4 linked regions of the Lytechinus pictus genome follow. The main gene of each other region encodes a partner of the protein of the gene in region 2 in a complex. Links are inferred from orthologs where the notes say so. Each region holds a gene or a part of one and is shown on either strand. Other genes may lie near its edges.

What was found.
Region 1: protein SEC13 homolog (region 2) and GATOR1 complex protein NPRL2-like share a complex: the UniProt entries of both Drosophila melanogaster proteins name them as parts of the GATOR complex. The link is inferred for Lytechinus pictus from reciprocal best matches to the Drosophila melanogaster genes Sec13 and Nprl2.
Region 3: protein SEC13 homolog (region 2) and GATOR1 complex protein NPRL3-like share a complex: the UniProt entries of both Drosophila melanogaster proteins name them as parts of the GATOR complex. The link is inferred for Lytechinus pictus from reciprocal best matches to the Drosophila melanogaster genes Sec13 and Nprl3.
Region 4: protein SEC13 homolog (region 2) and GATOR2 complex protein WDR24-like share a complex: the UniProt entries of both Drosophila melanogaster proteins name them as parts of the GATOR complex. The link is inferred for Lytechinus pictus from reciprocal best matches to the Drosophila melanogaster genes Sec13 and Wdr24.

The regions. Positions count from the first base shown.
Region 1 is NC_087247.1:42,698,943-42,706,154, forward strand, and holds the start of GATOR1 complex protein NPRL2-like, read right to left. Parts: upstream 3,024-7,212; 5' UTR 2,932-3,023; intron 2,710-2,931; exon of another isoform or gene 2,613-2,709; intron 2,439-2,612; exon of another isoform or gene 2,318-2,438; intron 1,998-2,317; exon of another isoform or gene 1,839-1,997; intron 332-1,838; 5' UTR 322-331; coding exon 238-321; intron 1-237. UniProt on the Drosophila melanogaster protein: An essential component of the GATOR subcomplex GATOR1 which functions as an inhibitor of the amino acid-sensing branch of the TORC1 signaling pathway.
Region 2 is NC_087247.1:59,274,073-59,281,627, forward strand, and holds the start of protein SEC13 homolog, read right to left. Parts: upstream 3,022-7,555; 5' UTR 2,740-3,021; coding exon 2,737-2,739; intron 695-2,736; coding exon 650-694; intron 1-649. UniProt on the Drosophila melanogaster protein: Functions as a component of the nuclear pore complex (NPC) and the COPII coat. At the endoplasmic reticulum, SEC13 is involved in the biogenesis of COPII-coated vesicles.
Region 3 is NC_087254.1:36,127,432-36,134,448, reverse strand, and holds the start of GATOR1 complex protein NPRL3-like, read right to left. Parts: upstream 3,024-7,017; 5' UTR 2,554-3,023; coding exon 2,436-2,553; exon of another isoform or gene 2,383-2,435; intron 909-2,382; coding exon 809-908; intron 1-808. UniProt on the Drosophila melanogaster protein: An essential component of the GATOR subcomplex GATOR1 which functions as an inhibitor of the amino acid-sensing branch of the TORC1 signaling pathway.
Region 4 is NC_087257.1:16,500,871-16,508,789, forward strand, and holds the start of GATOR2 complex protein WDR24-like, read right to left. Parts: upstream 3,016-7,919; 5' UTR 2,932-3,015; coding exon 2,907-2,931; intron 418-2,906; coding exon 403-417; intron 1-402. UniProt on the Drosophila melanogaster protein: An essential component of the GATOR subcomplex GATOR2 which functions as an activator of the amino acid-sensing branch of the mTORC1 signaling pathway.

The sequences.
Region 1 (7,212 bases), about 17 Mb from region 2:
GTATATCTATAGTCTGTTAACAAACAAAGATATTTTGTTCAGTCCAAATATTAAGAGTTAGGCCTACAAGGTTATATATCTGAAAGATGAAAAGTGTCATGTTTCTCCCTGGACTCCCTGACTGTGTTTGTCATTTGGTGAGTGTACAATGCAGTAGCATACAGTTAAAAAAAATAGCCCAGTTCTACTAATTTCTTGAAAGTTTGAACATCTTATCAAAATTTTTAGTAGATCTACCTGATACGTGATTTTAGGTCCAGCTTGTGGGTGAAATTCACTGAAGAAGATGCATTTCAGTTTACCTGCAGGTAAAGCTGCCATACTTTTGAGTCTGTAAATGAAAAAAATAAAGAAGAAAGGAATTATTACATTATCGCAGACACATCTATTTTAGGTTAGTATGACAGTGTGTCCAAACGTAATATGTGATATCTCGTCTATGTTCATTTACTAAGTATCTACTTCTAAAAAAACATTTAAGGCTTGTGAATCTGACACTACCATACACTAACACAAAAATAGACTCCCTAACCTAAAGTTATACCTTGAAACGTCAATTCTTTTAGATGAAATAAGTAGGCCTATTCATGAAAATGTAGGATGGTTATTTTGTAATTTTCCTATTTTGTTCATTTTCTTTAACTTGTGTTTTCTTCATTTCTGTTCTGTCTAGACTTGTGTTCTTTTGCATTTCTTTTCAGCACTGCCCTTGCAGTCTGAACTTAGGTTATTTGAGTTTATATGACACCTAGATAGATCCTTGTGAATTGATTGGTTGTTTGATATCATTCATTCAGCCCATTTTGCTATTACGTCATCAACCATGCAATTTTGGATCCATACGATTTTGTCCATTACACGCGCGCACAGAGACTGCAGGCTGCAGGGACGTACTACTTGTGTTTCCAGTGCACATGTTGTAATGATGTAACAATCAGCAGACCGAACTCTTGCATCGAAATTCATAAATTTCATATGAAAAAAGGTAAATTTTTAGGTTTCATATAAACCAAATAATGATTTTTTTTTTCAATCGTGCAATGGAAAGAATACTTCATTCGGTTAAAGATGAAATGAATGATCCATTCAACTCAGCGATCATTTCATCTTTCACCTCATGAAGTATTCTGTCCATTGCACTCATAAACATTCATTATTTGTATATTAATTATATTCAGTTTTCATTCATCCTCCGATCTCCACATTGGATTCTTTTCCTCCGATTCTCTTTTGTCCTTCTCTATTCAGGTGTTCCACTCATTCAATCCCCCACCTGACTCCTTAGTTTCTAATGCCATTATTACATAATCACCAAGACATCTTTTATCACCTTCATCTTATTGTACATTGGTTTATACAATGAATTGGATTACTACATTTCAGTTGGGTTCTTCTATTTTCTTTAATTTCATTGGTTAGTTTTTTATAATGATTTAAACAATGTTGTTACTGTAGCAACAATTTTGATGTGGGCCGAGGAAGGCCAAAGGTATAAATAGAGTATTTTAATACATGAACAGACACAGATACAACACTACAGATCCAGTCTCTTTGTTTAGTTATTCTCTGTCTTCTGTTCCTGATATGTTGTTTGCTGTTATTGTTAAGTTCCTGAGTTATGCTGTTTTAAAACTGATTTTTTTATTCTCAAGTAGGTGTTTAGTTTTAATTCCTACAAAAATATTGACATAATACGAGTAAATTTGAAATTTGTCACCTTTCCGATAATTCTTTTTTTTTTTCAGAGCAGATAGATCTAGGCTACTAGGCCCGAGAGCCAGATCTATCAAGGCCTATATAGTCTATAAAAAGTACTATGAGTAAAATGTGTTACTAACCAAAATTTGTTGTCCTGTGCTTGTCTTTTGTTTCTATAGACCTCCAAAGCATACAAAATTAATGTCATGCTTTTTTAACAACCATTTCCAGTAGGCTGGGGGGTCGGGTGTCCGGACACTTTATCTTTTTGAAGCCTTCTTTTTTGTCTGTGGATTACACTAAAAATATGAATTCAATACTTGTAATCATATTCTGTTTTGTTCTTTATAATATTTCCTAACGTTTTGTACTAAAAATTGATGAAACTTCGCTTGTAATTTTTTCCAAATGACTTTCTAAAATTGATCGTCCGGACACACAACAACTGGGTATACTGCTCACACTCTTCGACTTGCATATTGAGACTGCGATAGACAGCGAAACGCCTTGACCTAGTATTTCACATTTTCCTCAATCAATTTTGAACTCTTAGTCTTAGTCTTACTATACATTTGATCTTGCCATCAATTTGGTAGATATCTAAATTTATATAAAATACCCAGTCGACAGTCTCGGATGATTTGGGCTTCAGTGACTTCAGTCTCTGTACTTATTGCCGCTGAACCCTGTCCCTGGGCACTGAAGTAAACTCTGACTCTGTAGGCTCCACTCGATAAAGTCTAAAGTAAAGAGACGGATTTCGAATTGACAATTCAGCTTATGTGGCCATGGCATGGCCATGGGCATGGCATAGCATGTCGGTTTGTTCTCACGTAATGAGAAGAATCCACATCTATTCCAGCCAGGAAACCCTTCCTATTCAATGTGTGCCCATGCAATTTTCTATGTCATACTCATAGGACATAGATCACGATGCATGCCCTGCCCGCGCCCATGCCATGGCTGGCTGGCCGGCTAGCGCCTAGCTCTGGAGCCTGGCCCGGTGGTAGTGTTCACGTCACCAAGCCAGCCGGGCCGGGCGGCAGGGGGCGTGCCCGTGCGTTCGGCCGGTCATGCAGCGCAGCAGCATAGCGCAAGAAAGGATGATGTTAGGACAGAGTTTCAAACTGCATGTCCCTCGAGCTCGGCTGATTGTAGGATAAACCAGATTTTTAAGGTAAGACAGTTAATGCTAAGGTTAAGGCTAAGGTGGAATGAAAAGTTCGTATTTACCGTAAATTCTGAAATGAGCAACTTGGCTACCCAAAGTCTCACTCCTCCTCCTGATCCTGAGAAGATCGAAGTGCGAATATGAACGGCTGCGCTTCAAGCAGGCGGCCCGCGATTTAGCTAATGTGTGCTTTGGATACAATTATCACAGAAATGTGTTATTTCTCGCTTCTTTTCGTGCATCAAAAATCACACGCATTGGTGATACAAAATGGTCTCTTGAATGTTAGAAAGTTGAATATATCACCCTTCTGTGCTGCGAGCACACACACGTACACGAGTAGAGAGGTGACTTATTTCAGGATAAGGCCAAAAAATCTGTATTCTGAGAATTTCTTGTATCTTTCCTTATAAGGCTTAAATTTTCTTGTAACTTTCATCTTTCCCGGGGGCGGGGGGGGGGGGGGGGGTCAAATATATTGCTGTACACAGTATGGTGAGACTACCAATACCACATATCGCGACCACCTCTTTTGAAACCGACCACCTTGCGCGCGTTAAAATTATTGCGTATTACAAACGATACGCGCGGGAGGGTAGGCGCAGTGTCCATAGAAACGGTATGAATCGATTTTACGAGAAAAAAAGAAGCAACAAAAAGTAAAAATTTAGTAGAATTAATCAAAATTGTATTGACCAAACCCAAACCCCGCTGAAAAACCAAGAAATCCGATAGGAAACGGCTTTAGAACAAATACCCGTCGTCAATCATCAAATCATGTGCCGGAGCTCGCACTGGAAGTAGTGAGACGATCATTTAGCATGTTGACATCATGATCATAGAAATGATTTGGAAGAGTAAAAATATTTCGCCACCGCGACAAGAATCGGCCGTAAACTTAGTGTATCGCGGGTGGTCGGTTTCAAAAGACGGGTGCAAATGAGCAAATGTAAAATCGTCGTATTCGTTTTTTGTCGATATATACGAGGATTGAATCGGAGTCGCCGAGCGAAATATGGGAATCTGATCTGCTCAATTTTCTGCACAAATGAGACGAAAACTGGGTAAAATTGATGAATATTTTCGCAGATGCTTAGAAGATTAGGTGGGAGTTAAGGGGTAGTTCCAACCATATGCATTAATAAGAACCTTGGGCCTGTTGCATGACGAGTACGACATGAGCGATACGTAGGAACGTCCTAGGACCATTCTTCCGAGATAGGAAGATTGGCGACAAATCAGCGGTTTCCGTTTCACGAAGGCAATTTAGTCTTCCAAGTCCGCGACATCGTTTGATATCGATAGTATCGGAAAAAATATTTAGTCTTCATCGTCACCTGAACCTTTTAGTTTCATTTCGGAATGACAACTTTTCATAAAATCATAAATTTCAATAAAAGGAGATCAAATAATGTTTTATTTATTACTGATTGTAGAATTGATGTATACTATGGAGCTTACTTTATGAGGTAAAAAGATACAAAAACTTTAAAGATTCACAAACAAAACTGGATAAAATCGAAATTTTCATTATTTCCCTTATTTAGAACATGATGTCCTTTTAGAGACACCTTTCATTGATATTGCAACGAAATAGACCCTTGTCCAACATAAAAATTGATTTAACTAAGTAATTTCGACATTGTATTAGTTCAACATTCTGAATTTTTATTGAATACTTAGTTATAATGATAATTTTGCAAATCATGCGTTAAATGTTATTTGTTGAGATAAAAATAGGGTTTGAATGGATTAAACAAAATCAACATGTCTGATTGTATGAGACTAAAAAAGAAATGTGAGAGGCTGCGTGTGAAAAATCTAATTTATTTATTTTATTTGTCAGATATAACGCAAGAAATACAAATGTGAGTGTTTAGAGTACACATACCTCATCAGTTGCATGATGAGTAACCGAAGACAAGGAAAATATGAAAATTGCTGCAAACATGTCCAAGTGGATAAAGTAGTGCTTTGCAATAATAATTAAAACATAGAAAAATGTGTGAATCAATCCGCAATGGAAAAAATGCTATTTACAGAAATAATGCTAAAAATTACAACGATCATAAACGTTGGTCATATTAAAGTTGATCACTTTATGGAAGTTTATATAAGAATATAAGGTTTAAGAATATGAAAAATATATATGTTCAACATTTCAAAGTTAAGGAGTAGAGACTACATTATGACATAGGGGCCGATAGGGCTTACCCTACTATTTAATATGCGCCTCTAGGTATGGACTTTCCATAATCTTTTCTTTTATAGGTACAATGAATTCATCTTCATTTGTAATGATTGTGATGGATTCTTAAGCTATATGAGCCTAATCTGTATCTTAAATTCAATTAGCTATTTTGTTACTGCAGAATTTTTGTTTTGTTTCCTGTTTCACATCTCATGCTAGCCCAAATCCAACAATTAATTTTCATTGATTAAAATTAATCTCAGCCAAAAAAATAATAATTATAATGAAAATTAAATAAAAATAAATAAATGATTTAGCATGTTTAACATCTTAGTTTTGTATTGTGTTTTTTATTGCTGAACCGTTATAAACACGTTTTTTAGCATACATAATTTTATTTTTTTAAATTGTTTTTATGTTGTTTACAGGGGTGTGAGAGTTCAGATTTTTATCTCATTTCAGATTTTTTTTGTTTTGATTTTCAGCTTAATTTCAGCTTATTTTTGGCCTTCCTCTGTACAAAAAGTATGGGAGCTCTTTCTATTTCAGACTTTTTCAACACTCTTCAGCTTTTTTCAGATCTTTTTATTTGTGACCACTCACACCCCTGGTTGTTTATATAATGGACTAAATGAGAAAGCATGAGGGGTCAGAGAGATAGTGCAGCCCATTTCGATATTTCAAGTTTTTTTTTAATGGAAAAGGGGTGGGGATAAGACGAATAATAAAAGAAAACATGTTAAAAAAAATATTTGGGCCTACATTACCCCCGGACATACCCTGGATAAGTTAAAATGACATCCGTTTTTGGTCGTCTTGCCATGCAAAAAGACAACCTGAAATTGATGACAACTAGCCCCCATATAAAAAAATAAGTTGGCGCCATCCCAGATAAAATGCATCAGATTGCAATCGAATGACACCCCAAAAAATGTGATATGTCAGTGTGGCTTGCCGTAAACGCATTTTCTCTCAATGCCGACGGTGGCGGGCGGTGTGCAAAGAAGATCATGTCTACGTAGGACATGTCTGGTCTCTGGAGGTGTCTTTCCAAGGACCATTCTTGGTATCGCCCAAATCGGCTTTGTGAAACAGTTGAGCGATAACTCGTTCTTACGTAGAACGGTTCTACGAAAGACCCTTTCATGCAACAGGCCCCTTGTCTATTTGTTGCTCTGGGCTATGAAGCTTCAGGTGCTATGGCAGCTAACAATGAACATGATCCCTGTGCACATAAAAGAACAAACGATTACACCAATGATGCAGTGTGCATAATACATAATCCTCTATCTCCCCCCTACCTCGGGCAAAGTTTGTGCAGGCTCCACTTCACTACTGCTACACTACGCTCCACCTACCCGAACTTTGGGACCGTGAACTCGATCGGATATTCCGAGTGACAAAGGTGGGATCAAAAAGTGGTTTATTGTAAAAATTATAGAAAAAAAATAGCTTAATTTCTTACTCTACACCCTCATTTCACTCCGTGTCCATCCTCCGGTTATCCTCAAAATTGGTGATTTTGGGCCAGTATATAATTCCTCACACGTATTATTCACGGCCGATTTCAAAACATTGCATGCGATCGGTCGCAGGCCAAATAGCATAAATGACTGATTGAATCTGATGACCGGGGTAATAATATATCTGTAAAGCGCTTAGACACGTCGTTCCGATGTATTAAGCGCTATATAAAAAACGGATTATTATTATCATTATAAATATCTATATCATATTGGATGGCTCAGAAAATACCAGAAATACCGGTATTCTAAGAGTTTGGGAAAATATTCCAAGAATCAGAGGAATATTTTTTTAGTCAAGGATAGCTTGTAAGTACTTCTCACATGTGCGAACGCTGTCAGGGGTGATCTCAAAGCCAGCGAATTCGACGATATCCGCACAGAACGTGAACTTCCTAGGATTGAGGGTAATCCCTTTTTTGGCCGCAGATGTCTGGACAGCCATTCAACAGCCTGGAAGAAACTGTCTTCCATCGTGTCAGCCCACAGGAGGACGTCGTCCGTCGACGCATTTCGTCTTATTTTGGATATCCGAGACGATTTCATCATACCGCCTGGTGTATCCATCTCCTGAGGTAATGTAGCCCTGAGGGGCTGTCTTGTAACTGTACCTGCCCCATGGGGTAATG
Region 2 (7,555 bases):
GTCGGGACATGGTCGGGACAGTACGCGAACACTGCGTGAGCTATGCGCGAACTATACGCATTCTATATACATCCCCCCCAATCAGTTATATTGGGAGGAGAGACCTGCGGGTCATAGTGATTCAGTTCGCTTTTCGCCTCCCAGGCACAGGTGACGCCAAAACAAAATAATAATAATAACAACGCGCAAACATGTTACGAACGTGTCAGGACAATGCGTGAACTGATATATCCAAGTCGTGCCATAAAGTGTCCCGCACTGGCACGCATCAATGCAGGGAATTGCGGGCACCACAATACCTGCATGTGTCAACTGGGCATAAGGCTACGTCTCATTAGCTCTTTCTGCCAATAGAATCGATATCGAGAGATTCTAGTAATACACGCAATAAGCCTTTTGTGAAACGTGTTAGTACATTGTATATTGGCGCTAACTCTGTGGTTGTTGGAAAGAAATACAACTAACTTGTCCCGGTATTGAGAAACAGGCCCCAGGTCTCTTACTTAATCTAATGTTTATTCTTTTCTTCTTATTATCATTATTATCTTATTTGGCATTTCAATAAAGATCAAGTTACAAAGCAAATACATGAGTGCAAATATACTATTATCCAAAAAAATTTAAACTAAAGGTATATAAAATGACTTACAATCATATCTTCATGAGCTGTATCCACAGTACTGATTACAGAAACCTGAAGGAGAAACAAAAAATTGTGAAAATTTATCTAATTTAATTTTTATTAGGCCTGGGAGTAAACATCGATTGATCGAATGGCTTGCCACCGATCGCCAATCGATTAGCAAATTTTACACTGACCGAATGTTTGGCAGATCCCGATTATGACGTTGGGATAACTCAAATACCCAAGTAATAATAAAAAAATGACAGGATAACTATGATGACAATGGTTTTTGAATACTTGATACAGGTTTAAAAATGATGTTACCAAGGTAATTTGTCAAAACTGATCAATGATTGTATCACATTCACAGTTAAACTCCGACCTGAAAGAGCTCCGAAAATGTTAATCCAACCCGGCCTTGCCCTCGATACACAATACAAGTCATTGTCTGCGTGCTCAAAACAGAAAGTAAACACACAACCAGCTCACTTGAGCTGATTGGACCTTCTATTAGCCAATGAAACTTTTTGGGAAACAAAGAAGCCACATGCGTTCCCTTATCAGGAAAGGTCATGACTTCAGAAATAAATTGACCCCTCCCCATCTGTGTGTGTGTGAGGGAGAGAGAGAAAGATAGGGGAGAGGGAGCCAGAGAATTCATTTCATGTTTCAAAACAATGCAACCTAATACCAGGGTACCAGCATTGATTTAGGAAAGATTTTCATTGGAACAATAAACTGAAAGATTTAATCTCATTTCATGTAGTTTCTTTTGAAAATCATGGAGAAGGGGGAAGAGGGCCTACTTTCATTTATGATAAACATGTGACTTTGATGGAGATTTCTTCATTCGGGAGGTCACCATAAAGTAGGTGAACTATTGTGACTTAAAAGATGTGATTTCCGATGAACAATCAAATAATTTGATTGTTTTTTCAGGAAATAATCGAATGGTAAAAATGACATTCATCCCAGGCCTAATTTTTATCACTGACTTAGTGACTAATCTTAGAAGTATTCACAGATCTAGTTCGATCAGGTTGTGATACTTGGGGCGAGGGATGGGGAGGAAAATAGTTGATTTTTTTGTCCATGCTACAGTATGCTGCCGAGAACAAGGTTATATTGGCTATATAACCTTGTTCGTGTGTAGACCAAAACTAAAGCTTCGGTCTTCTTCTTGATTATACTCCTCAACATCCTTATTACTATTAGGAACCACCCGAGGAGGAATTGGGAGTGCACACTTCATTTCTTATTAGTCCTTGTTGCTTAAGTCTTTGTTGCGAAAGTATATAGTTGCCTGTGTTCTGAAGTTATCGGAGACTGAGAGTGAGATTGATTGGATGTCGGGGGGTAGAGAATTCCAGTCCTTGATGGTGCGTGGAATATATGAGTTCTTAAACTAAGCAATTGGTGCGAGTTGAGCACTGGATGAAATGTTATGTTGGTTGTTCCGCTGAACTCTGTTGGCTCCACTCACCAAATACAGAGACCAAAGTTCTAGCTCAATCTGTACAGGGACAATGGCCATAGGCCTATGTGTAAATAAGTTCAGATAAAACAGGAAAGTGAAGTTGCGCAACAGCCGAAGTAAGTCACTGTTTTTTCCCCTTTTAAGTTATTTTTCTCCGTTTTGGTGCATTTCAGGCCGAAACGAAATAATAATCTTTATTTTGGTACATTTCGTTTTAGGCCCCCTATAAAAGGCTATAATTTTTTTTTGAAATAGGCCTAGGCCTAGGCCTAAACTTAAAGACAAAAATCGATGAGCCGCGTCAGGGGGATTTTGATAATGGTGGCTGCACGATAGCGAGCCGTCTGTGTACAAGGAAGTTTTTAAAAATATTAAAATGTTAAAAAAATACTCGAAACAGATTGCTGCCAGCTGTCTAGTTCGTATGATGAGTGGCGCAGACATGCCCCCCCCCCCCCCTTTCATAGGATAAAACACCACACCTTTTGACACATACGGGACTGAGCACAGAACAATTATTCATTGAAAGAGCTATTTTGGGTTTAAAACGTTGAAAATCTTGATATCAAAGTATTTCATTAGAACTGAAATGCATCAATTTAAAATGTAATATATGAATAAATAATTTTCTTACCATCTTGCCCAGAACTTTTACAATTAATTCATGAAAAGCTAAAGCGACGTGGCGGAAAGCTGCTTGACTTCTTCTATCAAATAGGCAATTTGCATGCAAAATGGGACCGTATACCGTACCCGGAACCGAGTAGGGCCGGGTTGGTGATAGGTAAGGTTGGTGGTACCGGTTTTCACTGATCCTGCTTGCTTGTATTCAGATCAGTGCAGTGTTCCATCCATTCCATTCCATATGATTACTTGTTTTTATTTGGCAATAAGTCATGATTTACTATTTTGCCACACACTGTATGTCAAGTAGGATAAGCATTTTCTTAATTTTTTTTTCTTTCATTTATCTTTTTATTTTAAATTTATATACATTATATTTCTTTCTATATTTATTCTAATCATATGAATCAAATCATAAGGATCAACACACCAACATTCTAGTACATGCAAAAAAAATGATGAATAATACCTTGGTCACATTTGTTCCACGGCGGCCGTACGGCGCGAGTCGAAAACAGCCGTTTTAACATTTTTTTTGGTACGAGCTACATATAGGTGGTTTAATAAAAATGAATACAACGACTGTTTTCGACTCGCCGTACGGCCGCCGTAGAACAAATGTGACCAAGGTACATAGAGATTTCAACAAGTTAGATTCTCAGTGCAGGGGCCACAGAACGGTTTTCAAAGTGGGGGGGGGGGGGGGGGGCCGACCATACAAAAATCACAATCCTATGGTCATTTTTACGTTTTTGTACACGGTCTTAGAAAAAAGTGGCCCCCCCCCCCCCCCGCTTCCGCGGCCCCTGCAGTGTAGCATCACTTATCTGCATTAATACTAGATTTGTGATTCAGTCTCCTTCTTCCTTTTTTTTTTTTTTATATATATTTTTTTATAGATATAAGTTACAATTCTAATTATCTCAGTAAGCCTAAGATATTTTTTCTTGGGTTATATTACTTTTGAACCGTAAGACAGACAGAGAGAGAGAATATAATTATGTAATCAAGAAGTAATAAGAAAGAAAAAAAAATGATTTGCATTGACTAAAAGAGAGACAGGCAAAGAAGGAAGCGCCCCCTCCCATACCTAGTCTGCAGGCACAGACCCTGATTGGAACTTTGATCAATAAGTGTGCCTCCACGCAAAGACTAGCACATACAAAACTTGCTGTTCCAATACAGGGTCTGCATAATCTTCCAAAAATCAATTCTCACGCTCCAAATCAAGCCCCACCTCCTCCTTTCAGAGTCACTTTCCATTGGCTAGTAAACATTGTCAATCAGCCTCCCAGGGGAACTGCTACCAGTGGCCAGTGAGAAGATAATTGATAACTCAGATAAGATTTAGCCAGTAGTTAATCCAACATAAACAATGTCCCATGCCCAGAAATCCCTCCAGGGATCTTGTGGTCTACATCCAAATGCAGAAATGAAATGGTCATTACAGGGCCTACTGTATAATCAAGGAGATATCACTCTATATCTCCTTGGTATAATACCATAGGAAATGGTCACATATCCCTGCTAGAACAAAGCAGGGAAGTACACGTAAGCTATAGAAATGTCTATTTCTTGTATTGGCCCATTATAGTTTGTTCCAATACCATGCAAACAGTCTCTTTATATCTTTCTGTTGGGTCATTTTTTCACTTTATATAGGTTGGAACTTCCTTCGTGTATTTTATTAGCCCTATAATAGATTATGAATATAACTAAGGATCAGTATAGTAGTAGTATAGTATAGTATTTATTTCAAACCATATCAAACACAAACAATGGTACAGAATACAAATTCATAGAACTCAGAATGATAGGTCAAGGACAAGTTCACCCAACAAAGAAGTTGATTTGAATAAAAAAAGGAAATCCAACATTTTATAACACTGAAAATGTCCTCAAAATCGAATGTTAAATAAGAAAGTTTAATCACATTTTAAAGTTTCTGTTAATTTCACATACAGTTTTCCACATCCTGGTCCGATTTGCAAATGAGGAGACTATCCACTTTTTTTGCATTTGATTATGTGAAATATTCTAATTTTCTCCTCATGTCAAATGAAACAACGGCCAATTCCTCCCTGAACATGTTGAATCAGCTTTTTTATTACTATGGTTCAGTTAACTTGGTCCTTATTGCACAATTTAAACAATAACAAACAAATGAAATAGTGAGTTAGGGTTATAAACTGTCTCGTTTGCATCCCAGGTGTGCATGTCACATCACTGTTTTGTGAAAAATAAGCGAAACTTTAAAATATCATACATTTCTTATTTTACGTCCGATTTTGATGAAATTTTCAGCCTAGCTAGTTTGATTTTCCTCTATTTATTCAAATAAAAAAATTATAGGGTGGACTTGACCTTTAAGATTTCATATAATTTGCACGAAGTCCATTTCTCTTTGGCTCTCATTTTTCTTCCCTATTCTCCACATTTATTTGATTCTATCTCATTACTCCTTAATCACTTTTCTTTTTTCTAGTTAAATATTATTACATCTTTAATTCCAATCTGTCATTACAACCAGGGCTGTTGGCAACAGAAAACTGTGTGCAGGTTATAAATAGTAAAATTAAATTCAAATACTTAAAAAAAAACAGTGAAGACTTTATATTCACAACTTAAAATGGCATGTAAAATGAGAAAGACAATGATGTCCCTCATTTTATACTTTTTCTTTCTTCTTCTTTCATTAAAAAGTAGTTTTAACGATATTTCAATGTTTACAGATTTGACATAAAAGACCAACTTGACTGAACATATTAAATGTTAGTACCATGGCAATGCCACATGTTTAGAAGAGAAAATTTTGCTTCACGTGACGATGAGGAGAAATTTGAAACATCAATATTCAATATATAAAATACCAAAAAAAAATGATGTCGTCAGTCCCCTCATTTGCATACCGACCAGCAGTGGCGTACTGTGGGTCACGGCATGGGGGGGGGGGGGGGGGGGGGGCACCAGCAAAAATTCTGAGCCACTTAGTGAGCGCGCTTCGTATATGTATCTAACTGATCAAATAATGCGAGCGCGAAGCGCGAGCTGAAAATGTTGGATATTCAGACCTAAAAAGGGACTCAAAAATTTTTGTAATCATTATACGTACCTGTCTCACTAAACAATGCGAGCGCGAAGCGCGAGCTGAAATTTTTGTATATATTGACCTCAGACACGGAGATTTTAAGGACTATATTTTAGGAATCCATTAAGAGTATACATATCTCACCATAGTCATCTAATGCGATTGCCAAGCTCTTGCTGATTTTTTTAGTATTGCATCTAAACGCATTAAGCACTTGTCATGCTTGTAGTAATTGTAATCATCATTATACGCATCTCACTAATCAAATATTGCGAGCGCGAAGCCCGAACTGAAAACTTTGGATATTCAGACCTAAAAATGGACATTATAATCAAATTTGTGTAATCATTATACGAAGAGCGAGCTGAAATTTTTTTACATTCAGATCAGAAAAAGGGATATTTTAAGTACTGATTCTATAGGAACTCATGGAGGGCAGTTATACCTCACCAATCCACTAATTGCGAACGTAAGCACGGACAGGAAATGTTTTATATCAAGACCTTAAAATTAGGCAATCGCTTTAAGTAGTCATGAAAAAGAAGCATACTATTGTGCATAAAACAATATCTCGAAGTGCGAAAAAATATATTTGGTGTATATTGACTTGAAAACGGGAGGTTTTAGTACAACAGGATTAAATATATTCTTAAACAGACAATGCGAGCACCAGGAACAATGAAGACATAGCCATAGGCCCTGAGTTAATGTTTCATAAAGTTATGAAAAAGATATTTCTTATGTAATATAACATAACATAATTATAATTTAACAAAACATCAATAATTTCTTCTTTCCCAGTACGTTTCTCTTCCTTTCTCCCTCTTTTTCTCCTTTTCCCTGTTTTTTTTTTTTTTTGTTGGGGGGGGGGGGGGTGTCAGCCGATTGGGGGGCACGTGCCCCCCCCCCCCTCCCGTAGTTACGCCACTGCCGACCAGGATGTTCAAATAATTGTTGTGAAATACATCACAACTCCCTGGTGAAATGAAGCAAACATGTAAATTGTTATCACTTTCTTTTTTTCAGCTTTAAAGGTCAAGTCCACCCCAGGAAAAAGTTGATTTGAATAAATAGGGAAAAATCAAACTAGCAAAACGCAGAAAATTTCATCAAAATCGGATGTAAAATAAGAAAGTTATGACACTTTAAAGTTTTGCTTATTTTTCACAAAACAGTGATATGCACAACTCAAATGAGAAAGTTGATGATGCCCCTCACTCACTATTTCTTTTGTTTTTTATTGTTTGAATTATACAATATTTCATTTTTTACAGATTTGACAAAAAGGACCAACTTGACTGAATCATATAGTATTAAACAATGCTCATTCCACATGTTCAGGGAGGAATTAATCGTTGTTTCACTTGGCAAGGAGGAGAAATATAGAATATTCCCTATTTCATATAATAAAATACAAAAGAAATAGTGAGTGGATGACGTCATCAGTCTCCTCATTTGCATACCAACTAGGATGTGCATATAACTATTTTGTGAAATCAAGCAAAACTTCAAAATGTCATAACTTATTTATTTTACATCCGATTTTGATGAAATTTTCAGTGTTATGTTTGTTGGATTTTTCTCTTTTTATTCAAATCAACTTTTTGTTGGGGTGGACTTGTCCTTTAAAGGACAAGTCCACCCCAACAATAACTTGATTTGAATAAAAAGAGAAAAATCCAACAAGCATAATGCTGAAAATGTCATCAAAATCGGATGTAAAATATGACATTTTAAAGTT
Region 3 (7,017 bases), on a different chromosome or scaffold from region 2:
CAGATTAACTTCTTAGCTGATTTCAGCTTATTTTCATTAGGGATCTCTCACAATCTGGATAAAGAACACTCTTGAAAAAATGCACATACATTTGTTTAAGATTGATTTATGTGGGAGGCTCTACATCAGTGAGGAGCAAGGAGGCAAATACCCTCTTGATACTTGATGTAGTAATCCCTTTGGCAGCTCATACAGAAGATATACTGGGATGATGAATAAAGTGAGCCACTGGAAGGAGTGTCATGAAGTGCAGAAATGGTGATGAACAGACATAGCAATTTTGTATATGTACAGTAAAACATGCTATGCTGAGTGCAAGTAAAAACCAAGCTTTTGACTTTAAATCATATGGGATCCAATAGGGGGCTGCATCATTCTGATGGCAGGGAGAGCAGCCTCCTTGAAACTGGACATTCCTTTGGTGTTGATAGCTGAGCTGGGTAGGTTGTTCCAGTTCCTTATCGTTCTTGGATAGAATAATGATTTTAAAGTTATAAAAATAAATGAAGAAAGAATAATATGGGGTGGGGAGATGGCTCAATCATACACTTAGCAAGCACTAATTGATGTGTTAACGTCGTGGTAGTATCTTGCACCTTATCACCCCCCCCCCCTCCTGCCCAATTTAATAGCTGTGTAAATACATAAGAAAACACACAATTTGTCCCTTAAATGTAAAAATGCACTGTTGAGCTCTAAAATGCCGCCCAAAATTTGCCATTGAATGTGATAAAAATGTACTGTATGAGCATAAGTAAGAAAATAAGCCCCCACCTGAAACAAACCAAAATAGAATACAAAAACCTACCCAGATATAATGCACGACTGTCTTGTAGATGACTGATTAGTTGAGATAGTATACGGATCATCCTCGGGGGTCTGAAGTGCAAATGGATTATCTGACAGATCTGGGGGGTGTATAAACAAATCAAGCATTTATCCACAAGATCAAGAGAAAACAAGCTAAAAACTGTCCAACGTTGTCAACTTTATTTCAACATGCTTGGACACAGGGGTTAATAAACTTCTAAAATATCTGACCATGAGGACTTGGCATAATGGAATTTTAGGAATGTCAGCTGGCGCTGGCAGCAGCCTGGACACAACCTCCCTGGTGATGTGACAGGGTGCTTGCACTTAAAAGGGAAGTTCGCCCTGAAGAAAAACATGTTGTAAAAATACCAGAAAAAAATATTGGTGAAGGTTTGAGGAAAATCCATCAAAGATTAAGAAGATAGATAGATACATTGTGTAAGATTTAGAAGATAGATAATATTTAATTCACTCTATCAACCCCCTCTCAGGGTATGAGTGTACACCATATAAAGTTTATAAACAACATAAAAAATATATATATATAACAAATGTATGCGTACATAAAGTATGCAATCAGTTATAACCTCATATCAATAACAAATTATACGATCTACTTACACATGAAAACAAAATGGTCGGTTCACTAGCGTACCACTTCCAGTTAAAAAAATTATAATTTTTTTCTTTTGAACTTTCTTTCTTTCTTTCCTTCCTTCCTTTCTTTCTTTCTTTCCTTCCTTCCTTTCTTTCTTTCTTTCTTTCAAAGATTTCGATACATGTAGCTTATTTCAAGTTTCCTCACATTCGTTTCTCATTATTTGGGGGATGGGGCCGGGGTTCAACATTTGATAACGTCCAAATTTATTGATCATTTTTCGAAACCCATTTGTTGAGGATTCTTTGTGGCTGTAAAAAGCAAGCACAGTGCAACACACAATGCATACTGATCATATAGATATAGGCTTGCATTATGAATTTCATGAATTTTCAAGGATTTTTGCTTGCATGCAGCAATGTTAATTAGTTAACACACAAGATGAGTATACCTATACTTTGTGCATGCTTGCGACATACAGCTGAGCAAGGTCCTGTTATGTCTCTGTATTTTGCGGCACACAAACAAACAATGACCTACTTTGGGCTTACCTTTAGAATCCAATGTCATGAGCTGAAGTATGACTATGATGATGCCTCGTTCTAATACTAGTGTGTAATCCATGCTCTCATAATCCATTATGACATTGGATTGTAAAGTTACTCCGCAACTTACTTTTTCAGAAATTATGGAATTTCTGTACCGTATTAGTAATTATTACTATTAAACTTTCATTCAGTTTCAAGTAATTTTCATTTTAGGTTTCTTTTTTTTAGTTTTAGTCTTTCTTTCTTCCTTCCTTTCCTTTCCTTCCTTCCTTTCTTTCTTTATTCATTTATTTCCTTCCTTCCTTTCTTTCTTTCATTCTAAGTTTCTTTCTTTCTCCTTCCTTCATTATTTTCTCCCCCCCCCCCCCCCCCTCCCCGTCTTTTATTTAACCGATCGAGTAAGTAACCGACCCAGGTTTCAACGAGTGGGACTGAGCTCAGTGAGATGGGAGCTTGGTTATTTATTTTTCACTTACCTCGTTTAACTAATTCTTGCTGTTTTTCTGCTTGAAATGGATATCTAAATAACAACCGGTAACCTTTTGATCCGGATGATACCAATATTATACTTAAAGGAGTGACTTTTGATGACATTTTTCAGTTGTGTGCTTTTCTCACAGTTTTGATCCAAACTGTCTCGCGTTGAATTTCGATAATGTTCGGAAGATCGAGGATCTAGAAACACATGATGCAGCAGGCGGTACAAATGTGGCAGCATACGAAGCGAGAAAAACAGGTCGGATCTTACGAGTCACACAAATTTTTGACGAGGTACAATACCGTAGCCGTAGGGTAGGATATTTCTTCTGGCTTGCACATCATTCTTCATTTTTTCATAAGTATTTCATGAAAATGTTTTTGTCAGTTACAAAACATTTCATTAATATTCTTGATTCACACAAATACTAATATAGTCCCAAATGTGTGTTTTTGTGTTGGAAAAGAACAAGGCCCGGGCGCGAAATTATTTTTCCCACCGAGTTCTGGACCAGCCACGTACGTGCAGTCGCCGTTGGCCTAACGTCAGCTTAATGGACGACGCCATATTGCCAGATTTGGCCCGCGCCCTCACCGGCTAACGCTCGGCTAAAGCTCGAACGCCATTCACCCATACACTAATTCCCCTTGATTACCGTTCTTAAAAACCACTGTCAAATCTTTTCCAGCATTTTTATGAATTAGCGATTGATGTTTTTCCGTTTATCAAATATCCTTCATTATACACATATTTTTTTCATATTTATAACATTTTTATTTTAATCACAATTTCAGTCCAAACGCGGGTCAGTTTTTGTTAACCCACGTTGTTTGTGCATGCCCACGTATAGCCTTACGCGTATTGAAAGGAATGATGTTGGGTGGAAAAACAGAATTGTTATTGTTTGTTCCTTGTTTGTTGGGGATGAAACTATGATGGCGACCAGTCACGTTTGACTGTACCGCCAAATAGTTAAGATTAATTAATTAAGGTCAAGGTGAGATAAGAGAAATGAGCAAGGGGCATTGTGGTGGGGGGGGGGGGGGAAGGGAGAGAGAGAGAGAGAGGGGGGGGGGGTTACGAGGGCCGAGTGGGGATACAGTTTCATCGTGCAGTACAGGGCGTCGATGAACACTTTTATTTTTTTCTCCAAAATATGGAAAGTGACAGAATAATCAGAAAAAGGTTGATTGGTTCTGATTTTGAAAAAAAAACAGAATTTATCAAGATTGCTGTTATTCTTCATGGTTGTAGAATTTAATTTAGTTTCTCTGATAAGTATAGAAAACAACTCAAATTTTGATTAATCGTATTTCATTTATTTCACTCTTTTCTTTCGCCTCGTTTTTTTTTCTTCCAAAAAATCAGGGAGCTGAAAAATATGAGAGCTAGAACCTAAAGATATGGGGTAGCTATGACGTTGGAGAGGGCGCAGCCTCATGCACTTGCAGATCCAGATCAATTTTCACAGGGGACACTTAGAGTAGCCCCTATTTCTTTAATATTATTTTTACAAGCAAAAAAAAGTCAATGAAGACATCAGGCCACCGACAGCTGCCTCGTCAAAGGGGGGGGGGGCGGTCGATTATTTTGAGTATTTTTTTTTTCATTTTGTCCTCAATAGGGGGGGGGGGTTCAATTAATTCTATATACACTTCTATTGTCTTTATATATGGGGGGGGTCTGCTACTGAGCATGTTTTTAAAAGGGCTTAATAAGGGGCTTAATATAACAGAAATTGTACGATTTAACACAATAAAATGTATCATCGAGGTAAATACTAAATTAATACATAATTAATAATTGTTTTAATTGAAAATGAAAATAATAAAGGCACCCATATATCTAGACCAAAAGCTTCGGTCTCTGTTATGTTGGTTGTTCCGCTGAACTACGTTGGCTCCACTCACCAAATACATGTGTACGAGGAGAAATTAAAAAATAAAAAATGTTTAAAAACTCCTCGAAACAGACGGCTGCCAGCTGTCTATTGTACGAGGAGAAATTAAAAATTAAAAATGGTTAAAAAACTCCTCGAAACAGACGGCTGCCAGCTGTCTACCGTCCATAGATCTTAACATCTCATAAATACAGGCCTAAACCTGTATTGGAAGTTGAACAGGCATAAAGTATAAATGTTTAGCTATAGCTGATGCTTTGATCCCGCAACCAAATAATGTTATATCAGTCAGTGGCGTAAGCCGTAACAAGCGAAAATAATTGAGGGTAAAACGATATGGCGTATCAGGCAAAATTTATAAAATATATAGTTGCAAGCAAGCGACATAAGCATAATTTTGACTCTTGGTTACAAAAATCCAATTGAACGATCTCGCAAGATTCTCTTACCTTTTCCTTTTTTTTTCTTGTTCGTGAATTGGGGGCATGCAAGACCCCCCCCCCATACAGCACCACTCTTTGTTGTCACTGTCTAAAATTTGATTTAAACTTTGAGAATTTGAATTTCTTATCTAAGTAATCCAAAGGGATAAGACAAAAATATTTGCAGATTACTTATTTCAAAGTATTTTTATACCTATAACTCCCCAACTCTGCTCTAGCTGCACTGCACGTTGCCTAACGGCCTTCCACCAAAGGGCCAGGCCGACTCACCCCGTGAGCAAGTGACCGCGTTCGCGTAAGTTCACCCGAAGCCATGACTAAATTCTGACCATAAACATCACCTAACTAATCACTCTTTGACAATATTTCAAAGTATCTTTTATTAGAGTCGATCCTTTGGGCCATTAAACGATAATATTTCCAATGTTATCATGACAAACAATTTTAATGAGATAGTGGCATTGTAGAAAAAACTAATTTATAAGCACGAAATGGCACCAGATAAATCATCAAACATACAGCGCAGCGTTCGGGACTGGTGAGTGGTACGGCTCGCTTGGAGTTTTCGCCCCGACGAATTCGGCGAAAACGCTACCATTGCGCCGTGCGAATGTTCAATCTGCGGCTCTCAATCAGAGACTTGAATGTCTCTTTTTGCATTATCAAAAATGTATCATAGACTTTGTTTGATTTGTTTACAAGTAAGTTGCATATCCGTCGTGATAATTAGGAAAATCCATGATGTCTTCTTCTAATTCTGTAAAAATTACCTCTTCAAAGTGCCTGTGTCAGAAAATTTCCGGAAATCGTAAAAACTTGCCTAAAATGTCTCTTTTTGAAAGTTCATCCATGGTCTGGAAAAAAATGTTATAATTTATGTAGACGTATACCGTAAACAAATACATCCTCGATCACTGAAATGAAGTGTTTGCTAAGCTTTTTTATCTCAGACCGCGTTACCATGGCAACTTGGGAAAACCTTTATTTTTTAGTAATAAAATTCTGGTTTTAAGGGTCATTTTAGAGACATAAAACTAACCATATTTTGAAGTATTGGGTTTAAATTTCACATAACACTGAATTATCTATGTTTTTACTTTCGTATATGAATATTCATATTTCTTATAGAATCTTAGTTTTTGATTGGTCAATGTTTCAGTCATGGATAATAACTGAGCGTTAAAAAATCTGAAAATGCGCATTTTATCGGCAACCAACAAGCAAGATGGCGGAACACATTAAGTTGGCGCTATGCACGTACGTGCAGCATATGAATATTCATGACTTGCGTCTTCGGATTGAGAGTACGCATGCGCAGTGGACTTGGCCTCGACCGTGCCGATCGTAAGCATTCACGTTGCTCAGAATGAATTTTCCTTGTATTATTTTCTTTGGCCAACAAGAATGTTTTAAGTCTTAATGATATTCTGAAAAGATTTGGTAAACTTGAACACAGTCTCCAATTTTGTCATATCCAAATGGGTTATGTCAATGGCATGATGAGCCAGAAACTATGAGGGGCCAAGCATGGCATATATAGAGCAAAATTTCTGTCAAAAAAAAAGAAGAAAGCGATTGAAGCGAGCGAGTGAACAAAATTTGTCCCCCTCTTTCTATAAGAAAAGCTAATTTTGCAATAGATTGTTTAAAAAATAATATCACATTTACTCCATCTTTTCCTTTCCCTCCCCCCCCCCCCCCCCCTTGTCTAAGTTTATTCTTGGTGGTGGGACTTCTTCTTCTCTCTATCTCTCTTCTAAATTTTATATTGGTTTTGGGTCAGATTGACAAAACAAAGGGGAAAAAGTTTTTACTTCTTTTTTATCATATATCGTTCAACATTGAATCTTATTTCTCTACAGTTTCAAGGAAATAAACAACGTATTTTTTTTTGTGTCAATATGGTTTCAAGAAATAATAATTAACAAAAAATAATTTAAAAATTAATAATTATTAATATTATCGATAAGTATTAATAATTAATGATTAATTAACTGTTTAATAAAAGTGGTTGTAAGCAGAAAAAAATATGAAAACGACAAGAGTCCTAAAAATGACTCATTTTCAGTTTAAGCATTTGAAAATTTTAGCTTGCGCTTTGTGCTCTCTTGCCCCCCCCCCCAAAAAAAAAAAATCCCCATAAGATTTTTTTGTCCAAATGAAAGAAATACCTTTTTTAATAATAAAACATAATATATTTTAGGTTCGAAAATCACAGATTTTGAATCGTGCTTGCA
Region 4 (7,919 bases), on a different chromosome or scaffold from region 2:
TAAGTCATTTTTTAAAAACGTTTCTGGCAATGAATGAAAGCACAGTTCTGCTGTACTAAAAATGAGTCTAGTTTATGTAGATTTTGTTCTCTCCTCCCCCCTCCCTCTGATTTGCAGTTTAATAAATCAATCTGGCCAAAACACAAATTGTGGCCTGGCCCCGTTGTCAGGTATGTTGATAATAGAAATGGAAAAAATAAACTTGAACTTGAGGTATGATTATTTTTCATTTTTCTTATAAAGAGCAATCAAGATCTTATATCAAATTGGCAACACTCTAAGTAATGCAAAGATAAACTTGGAAAATGATCAGTCCTAGCCATGCCTCCTATTATGTTACCATGCCATTTGAATATATATGCAAACACCCAGCGAAACCTCCACCAAAAATTACATACTCACCCTTAAAAGCTCTTCCTATTTACAAAAATAGAAGTAAACATGTTAAAAAGTATAAACAAAAAATAATAAAGACAATGTATATCTACATAAACAACTTATTGTGTTGTATTAACAAATTTAGTCCTTAAAATATGGTACTCCAAGTCTCAACTTTTCGGTTGATTAAGGTCATTGATGAAAAACACCTTTTTGCTGATCTTTTAATTTGAAGTCTAACGTTAGGCCTATACCTGAACGGAATGAATTGTCATAGAATAAATTAATTAAAAATCATCAAGAAAAAATAAAACTGGGGCAGGTACCCCTGCGAGCCTTCTCCATGTTCAGATAGGATAGTCAGTATTAGTTGCAGTTGCAAGAACTTGTCTTGGCTGTCAAGCTTTGCTGCATCATGCATGCCAGGCCAAAGCCATGCTGGCAATAAAAATTGACAGGTCTTTTGCTCTACAGACTACAAATATGGCAGTGAGTCCAACTTTGCACGTGTCCATACTTTGCGGACGATCATTATCTCAAAAACTATTTAATATCTTTAAAATCTGACATCATCAACATGCATGCATGAAAAGCAACTTAAAATTACCCTTCAGCATAACTTAGGATAAATTCATTAAAATATTGACAAAAGATTGGAAAATTTGTAACCGTTAGTGACCTTTCCGAAAAAATCTGAACTTCTGTCAAGTTATACAAGCATCAGTCCATCACGATATCAATTTCTTTTTAATCATCATTTTGCAAGCAGGTATCAACTGACCATGCTGACCGATTCTATTTTGACTTCCATCTGAAATATCTCACCTTAGTTTTGAGCTCGAGTTTTTGTTTAAATCTCCTCAAAACTTTGGTCCACGATGTTAGGTCACACTTTTTTAGAATGTATTTCCTGCACAGCGCGCATTCGTCGATCGGATTCGGAATAGAAATAAATTTTGACTATTACCGGCGAAATCTAGACTCTAACTTTACTTCACATTTTCGTCAATCATTTTAGGTTATGGTCTTGCCGTCAATTTGTATTTCTTCTTCTTCTGGAAACAGTAGTACAGTCCACCGTCTGGTGTATTGTCGTACTGGTGAAGTGCAGCGTGCAAGTGTATGTACATTATTCGATAAAAAATTGCTTATAGTTATAATTACAGCTTACCTAGACCAAAAGCTTCGGTCTCTGTTATGTTGGTTGTTCAGCTGAACTCCGTTGGCTTCACTCACCAAATACAGAGACCGAAGTTCTAGCGCGATCTGTACAGGGGACTCAATGGCCATATGTTTATGTACATAAGATCGGATAAAACGGGGAAGTGAATTTGCGCGACAGCCGAGGTAAGTCACTGTTTTTGTTCCTTTTAACTTGATTTTTCTCGGTTTTTTGGCAATTGATGCCAAGAGGGAATATTAATTTGCATTTTGGTCGCGTGAATTTTCAAAATTTTTACTCATTAAAGACAAAAATTGAAGAGCCCCGACGGGGAGATTTTGCATTGCAAGTCCCCTAATGGTGGCTGCACGCTAGCGAGCCGTCTGTGTATGAGGAGAAATTTAAATTTAAAAAATGTTAAAAAACTCCTCGAAACAGACGGCTGCCAGCTGTCTACACTCTACAGCTTACCTAACCCAGAGAGCTCCCGCCCGCGCAGCGGGCGGGAGCCCAGAAGCTTACCGTGTATTTTACCATTGTCACCGGACTAGGGTGATTTATGGTCTAAATATTTCTCCAAATGAATTGTGAAAACAGAAAGTATACAATTACCACGATTATATGGATGAAGGTCTAACGAGTGGCAGATTCCTGACATCTGGGCACAGTCTGGAACCTCAAAAAAACGAAAAGTTCTCTCCTTCTACCCCGTCTCGATCGGCCATTTTTGTTAAAAATCGTAACAAAATGGCCGATCGAGACTGGGTAGAAGGAGAGAACTTTTCGTTTTTTTGAGGTTCCAGACTGTGCCCAGATGTCAGGAATCTGCCACTCGTTAGACCTTCATCCATATAATCGTGGTAATTGTATACTTTCCGTTTTCACAATTCATTTGGAGAAATATTTAGACCATAAATCACCCTAGTCCGGTGACAATGGTAAAATACACGGTAAGCTTCTGGGCTCCCGCCCGCTACGCGGGCGGGAGCTCTCTGGGTTACAGCTTACCAAGCTTATTTGGTAGGCCTAGCTATTTTTATTGATTTTGAATAAATTGTGAATATATTGTGAACGAATTAACTTATTTAGCCTGATGAACAGGCAATCTGCCCGGTTAAATCCCATTGTGGGGCGTTGGGCAGTATACCCAAAGAAGAAGATGAATATTTTTTAAATGTCCGCGAATTTTGGACACCCCATTATACTAACACGTATTTCAACGCATGGGACTAAACTTAGAAATTTAACCCAACTAAAAATAGATCTAACTTCTAAGACTCTAACGTTAGGTCCAGCACACACAATCATCATCATCAATATTTTCCCGATCAAAGTCAAAACTCAAATCCTTTCTAAAAGACGTTACCTCTTTCTTGAGTCCCTCGTGACATGTTTGTATACTAAGTCGGATTATTAAAATAATAAACTAAAAGTTCAGCTAAAATATCAGCACTTGATCTAAGCTACTCGAGTCTGAGAAAAATAGACTATTCGATGATTTCGAGGTATCGCTATCGCGAAAATGAAGAGTAACTGAAGAAAACTCATTAAAATAAAAGAGAGAAAAAATATATCATATAGGCCGAGAAGAGAAAGAAAGGGAGAAAAGTAGGCCGAAAGTAGGAATTAGGAAGGGAAAATTAAGAAGGAGAAAGAGATGAAAAGAAGGAAAAGAAATGAAAGACTAGATCGAGAAAAGAAAACGAATGGGAAAATTAAGAGAGACAAAAGGGAAGGAAAGGGGCGGCGGAGTGAAGTGAAATGGGGGCACAGGAAAAATTAAGGGGCATGCACCTTTTCTTTCGAAAAGGGCACTATCTTGAAACATAGAAAATACGACTTATCTACAGTGGTGTAATGACCAAAAAAAATTGAGGGGGCTAGAATAAAGGACCTATATCGTATCATGTAAATTAGGCAGCGAGAGATAAACAAAATTGACATTTTTCAAACGAATATCACATTTTGTGATATATTTTGACATAATATTCAGAAAATAATATCATATTTTTATTACCCTTTCCTCTTTCCTTTTCCTTTTTTTTCATTGCAGTAAATTAAAGCCCGCAGGCCCCCAATATATGTAAACCACTGCTTATCTACCCACCAAAATGTTTTTTTCCTTCACTAAAGTATAACGTCTAAAAATGAGAACATAGGCCTATTGTTTTCAAAGGGCACTCGATTGTTATAACACATAAAATGGGTGAAAGGGGCACAGCTCCCAAAGCTAGAGAGTACGTTCGTGCATGAGCCCGGGGCACTGTCGTTGTTAAAAGCTAGGGCACTTTTCTTTGTTAAAAAAGGGCACTGATAAGAGAAAGGGCACCTATAAGAAGGCAATTAAAGGGGCACAGAGCCCGGCGGCACAGAGCACGTTCGTGAGGGGCAGTTTTCTTGGGTAAAGGGGCACTAGATGAGAAAGGGCACCTTTGAGAACTTTCTAACAGCATAAAACGGGTGTGAAAGGGGCGCAGAACAAGTTCGTACATGGGGCACTGATTCGAGAAACGGCACTTGCAAGGGGGCAAATGCATGCTCACATGCATATAAAACGGGCCCTTCTCGATCAGGTGAAAGGGGCACAGAACACGTTCGAGAGGGGGCATTTTGGGGTTATAAGAATTGGCACTTATAATAAGTGGCACTTAATTGGTAACACCTAACAAAGGTCCTCCTCAGGTAAAAGGGGCACAGTACACGTTCGTGAGGGGGCAATTTTCTTGCGTAACAAAGGGCACTTTTTCAGTGCTTCAAAAGGTGGAGGCACTGTGCCCCCCCCCCCCCCGGCCCCAGGATCACTGACCCTGGAAGGAAAAGAAAGTAAAGGGAGAGAGGAAGAAATAAAGAAAAGAGAGATCAAATAATGAGAGAAGGAAAAGGGATCGGGAGAGAAAAGAAAGGAACTGAAGGGAAAGATACTGAGAAAAAATTAAAAGATTAGAAATTAAGAGAATGGGAGAAGAAAGAAAAGGGGAAGGGAAAATACATATAGAATGAGAAGCAAAAGAATGAAAACTGAAGGGAAGAAGAAAAAAGGGGAAGAGAAGTTAACCTTGGTCATAACCTCTGCCTATTAAGGGGGTCATAACCAGTATCGAGATGTCTAGCATTTTGAGCAATGTTATCAGGAAAAAAAACAATTTTTTAATCGATATTTATTTTCCTTTTCTGATAATGGAACAAAAAATAATAGAATCACGTAGAGAGGCCTATAATTATTTGAATCGGGGACTGTCTGTGTCGGACTCCTTGGTAGAGCCAGCCACAGAACATAGTGAATCTAGTCTCACTACTCAGACTCTGCATTATGCACTATGCGAATTGCGAAAACCAAGGGTCTGCACCACTATGACCCCCCCCCCCCCCGACACAATCAAAGGAAGCTATAGGGAAGTAAAAGAGAAATTACACTGTTAGAAAAATTTCCGTTTTTTAACGGAAAAAGTCCGGCAGCAGAATTTCCGGACTTTTTTTTTTTTTCCGTAAATTTACAGAAAGTGGTAATTTATGGAAAAGTTCTGTAAAATATACAAGATTCCGTAAATTACAATTCTTGAAAATACGGACTTTATTTACGGAAACTTTACAGAAAATTTACATAAATTAACATGATTCCGTATAAATAATTAACGGAAAAAAAAAATTTGTCCGGAAATTTTGCTGCCGGAATTTTTTTTTTTTGTCCGTAATTTTACGGATTCCTTTTCCGTAAAATTACCGTACTTTTACAGATTCCCATGAAAAATACGGATTTTATGTACGGAAATTTTACAGAAAATTTACGTGAATTAACATGATTCCGTATAAATAATTAACGGAAAAAAAAAATTTGTCCGGAAATTTTGCTGCCGGAATTTTTTTTTTTTGTCCGTAATTTTACGGATTCCTTTTCCGTAAAATTACCGTACTTTTACAAATTCCCATGTAAAATATGGATATTATTTACGGAAATTTTACAGAAAATTTACGTGAATTAACATGATTCCGTATAAATAATTAACGGGAAAAAAAAATTTGTCCGGAAATTTTGCTGCCGGAATTTTTTTTTTTAATCCGTAATTTTACGGATTCCTTTTCCGTAAAATTACCGTACTTTTACAAAATTCCCATGTAAATTTACACATTTCCGTAAAAAAACAAGTTTACAGAATTCTTAAATTTTTTACAGATATTTTTTAATCAGTAGATACCTTACAATAGGAACGCTGATTTGCTATTTAAACATGTACTCCCAAACACATGGTAGATTGTATGAATGCATTCACTTAAGGCCTGAACAAACATTGTGTTGCCCTTTTCTGACCTGGACAAATCGGGCCAGCTTTTTTCAATTATTTTTTTCATACTATTACTAAGCTTACTATTTCTAGAATAAAACATGGCAACAGTGATTGTGTCTCGCCCACTCATGAAAATAACCAGAAATATCGTGATTTGCGAGGGCACACAACATAATTGTATTGAAACTTCATTGTGAAATGACTGGGATGGAATAACACTTGTCATAAGAGCCTTGCACATAAACTTTAATGTTGACCTGTAAATTCAATTCAATTCAAAATGGTTTATTAAAAATCCTTTCTTTGCGGCAAAAGCCGAATTGCGAAAATTTACATTTCAAACAAAATCATCAATAACAAGGTAAAAAAAACTTATAGTACTACGAACAAATTTCAATATAGACATATGTAACAAAGTATATCATAAATAAATTTAAATTGATACTCACTGATCAATAAAAAAAAATGAAAAATATTCAAAATACATGTAAATATGAGTGGATAGAGGAAATGAATTGGAAAGCAGAAAGGAATAGAAATAGTGGAAGAGAGAAGAGAGGCAGAGAAAGAGAGAGAGAAGAGAAGAAATTGATGGTGGAAGGGAAACAGAGAGAAAAGGGCGAAGAAGCAATTCAATTCAATTCAATTCAATTCATTTATTTTCTCTTTCAATCTTTTTACATTTACAATGATAGTTCAATATACATATTTACAAAATATAACATTTAAATCATTTTTTATAATACAATAATACCATGAAATCGAAAGGGAAGGAGACCAACTAAAAAGCAGAGCTTGCAGGGTGAAGGCCCCCTTTTATAAGTAAATTTTATGAATAAAAAATAAGATTAAATTAAGAAATAAACAATATATATCAAATGAATAAAAAATAAACAAATAAAAATAAAAATAAATAAATAATAATAAAAATAAATGATTCAGTATACACTGTATACAGAAATCATAAAACGATTAAACATATATACAAAGAGAAATTAATAAACACATTTACATATTAAGTTCTGAATTACATTACTTTGGGAAAAAACGATAATCTAATATGCTGCAATAATACATATTTTGGCAATTTTTATGACTTCAATTCAAATATTAAGTTTACGACTAGATATCAGTGAATAATTGCTCATATATGAAAGAAAAATATTTTGATTAACAAAGTAAAATGAAATGAAATGAAACTTGAGTTCGCCAACATAAAGAGAACTCAACATTAGAATTAGTATGTAATCTGCATTTTATAAAAAACAATCTTTTAATGATATCACATTTTAAGAGTCCAATGAATGATGAGTTCTTTAATTCTCAGCCATTCGTAGTTTGATATTATTATACATGTAACGATAGGGGAAGATATATACAAAAAAAACTACTCCTTGTAATCAATTCTTTTAGAGTTAAAGGTAAATGCTAGTTTTGGTAACGATATCAAAATGAGTTCGTACAGAATCCAATGAAATGACCACCAAAGTGTCTGTTTGTATAAATAAAACATATGTGCCAAAGGATTCTGGAAGAAATTGTGTAATTGCTGAGAAATCAGCAAATAAGCACAGGATTCGGGTAGAGCGTCGGGCCCGACATTCGAAGCAATAATTATACACTGTCCCACGTGCGCTTATCTGTGTTGGGGATCTTCAGCCTGAACATTTTTCAGCGTAGATTTCAAGATTTCACAAAGTTCAGTTTATGTAACTGTACCAGATCTAGATCCTCGATGATTAATGACAATTAAGCCTTGTTTTACAGACTTTCTCATGAAAACAGTGTTTACTGCAACTACTGGAATTTCTCTTTAAGGTGCCGAATCAACGAGGGCAAGGGGCTATTTCTATATCGTGAAGTTCGACATCGCATCTCTACTGTTCCGGCCAAGCTTCTAGTCTGATATTGACAAGTCCTATTTTGAGGTAGAAGGTGATACAGTTTAGACGTGGGGATTTGCATAGACTTCGCAAACGCAAGACAAAGAGTTTGATCCATCTATCTTCAAGAGACATCAGTTCTGACTGGAGTAAAGCATGCTCATATGAAGAATATGCTGCTCCAAAAATGATTCTAAGGGCACGTTTCTGAAT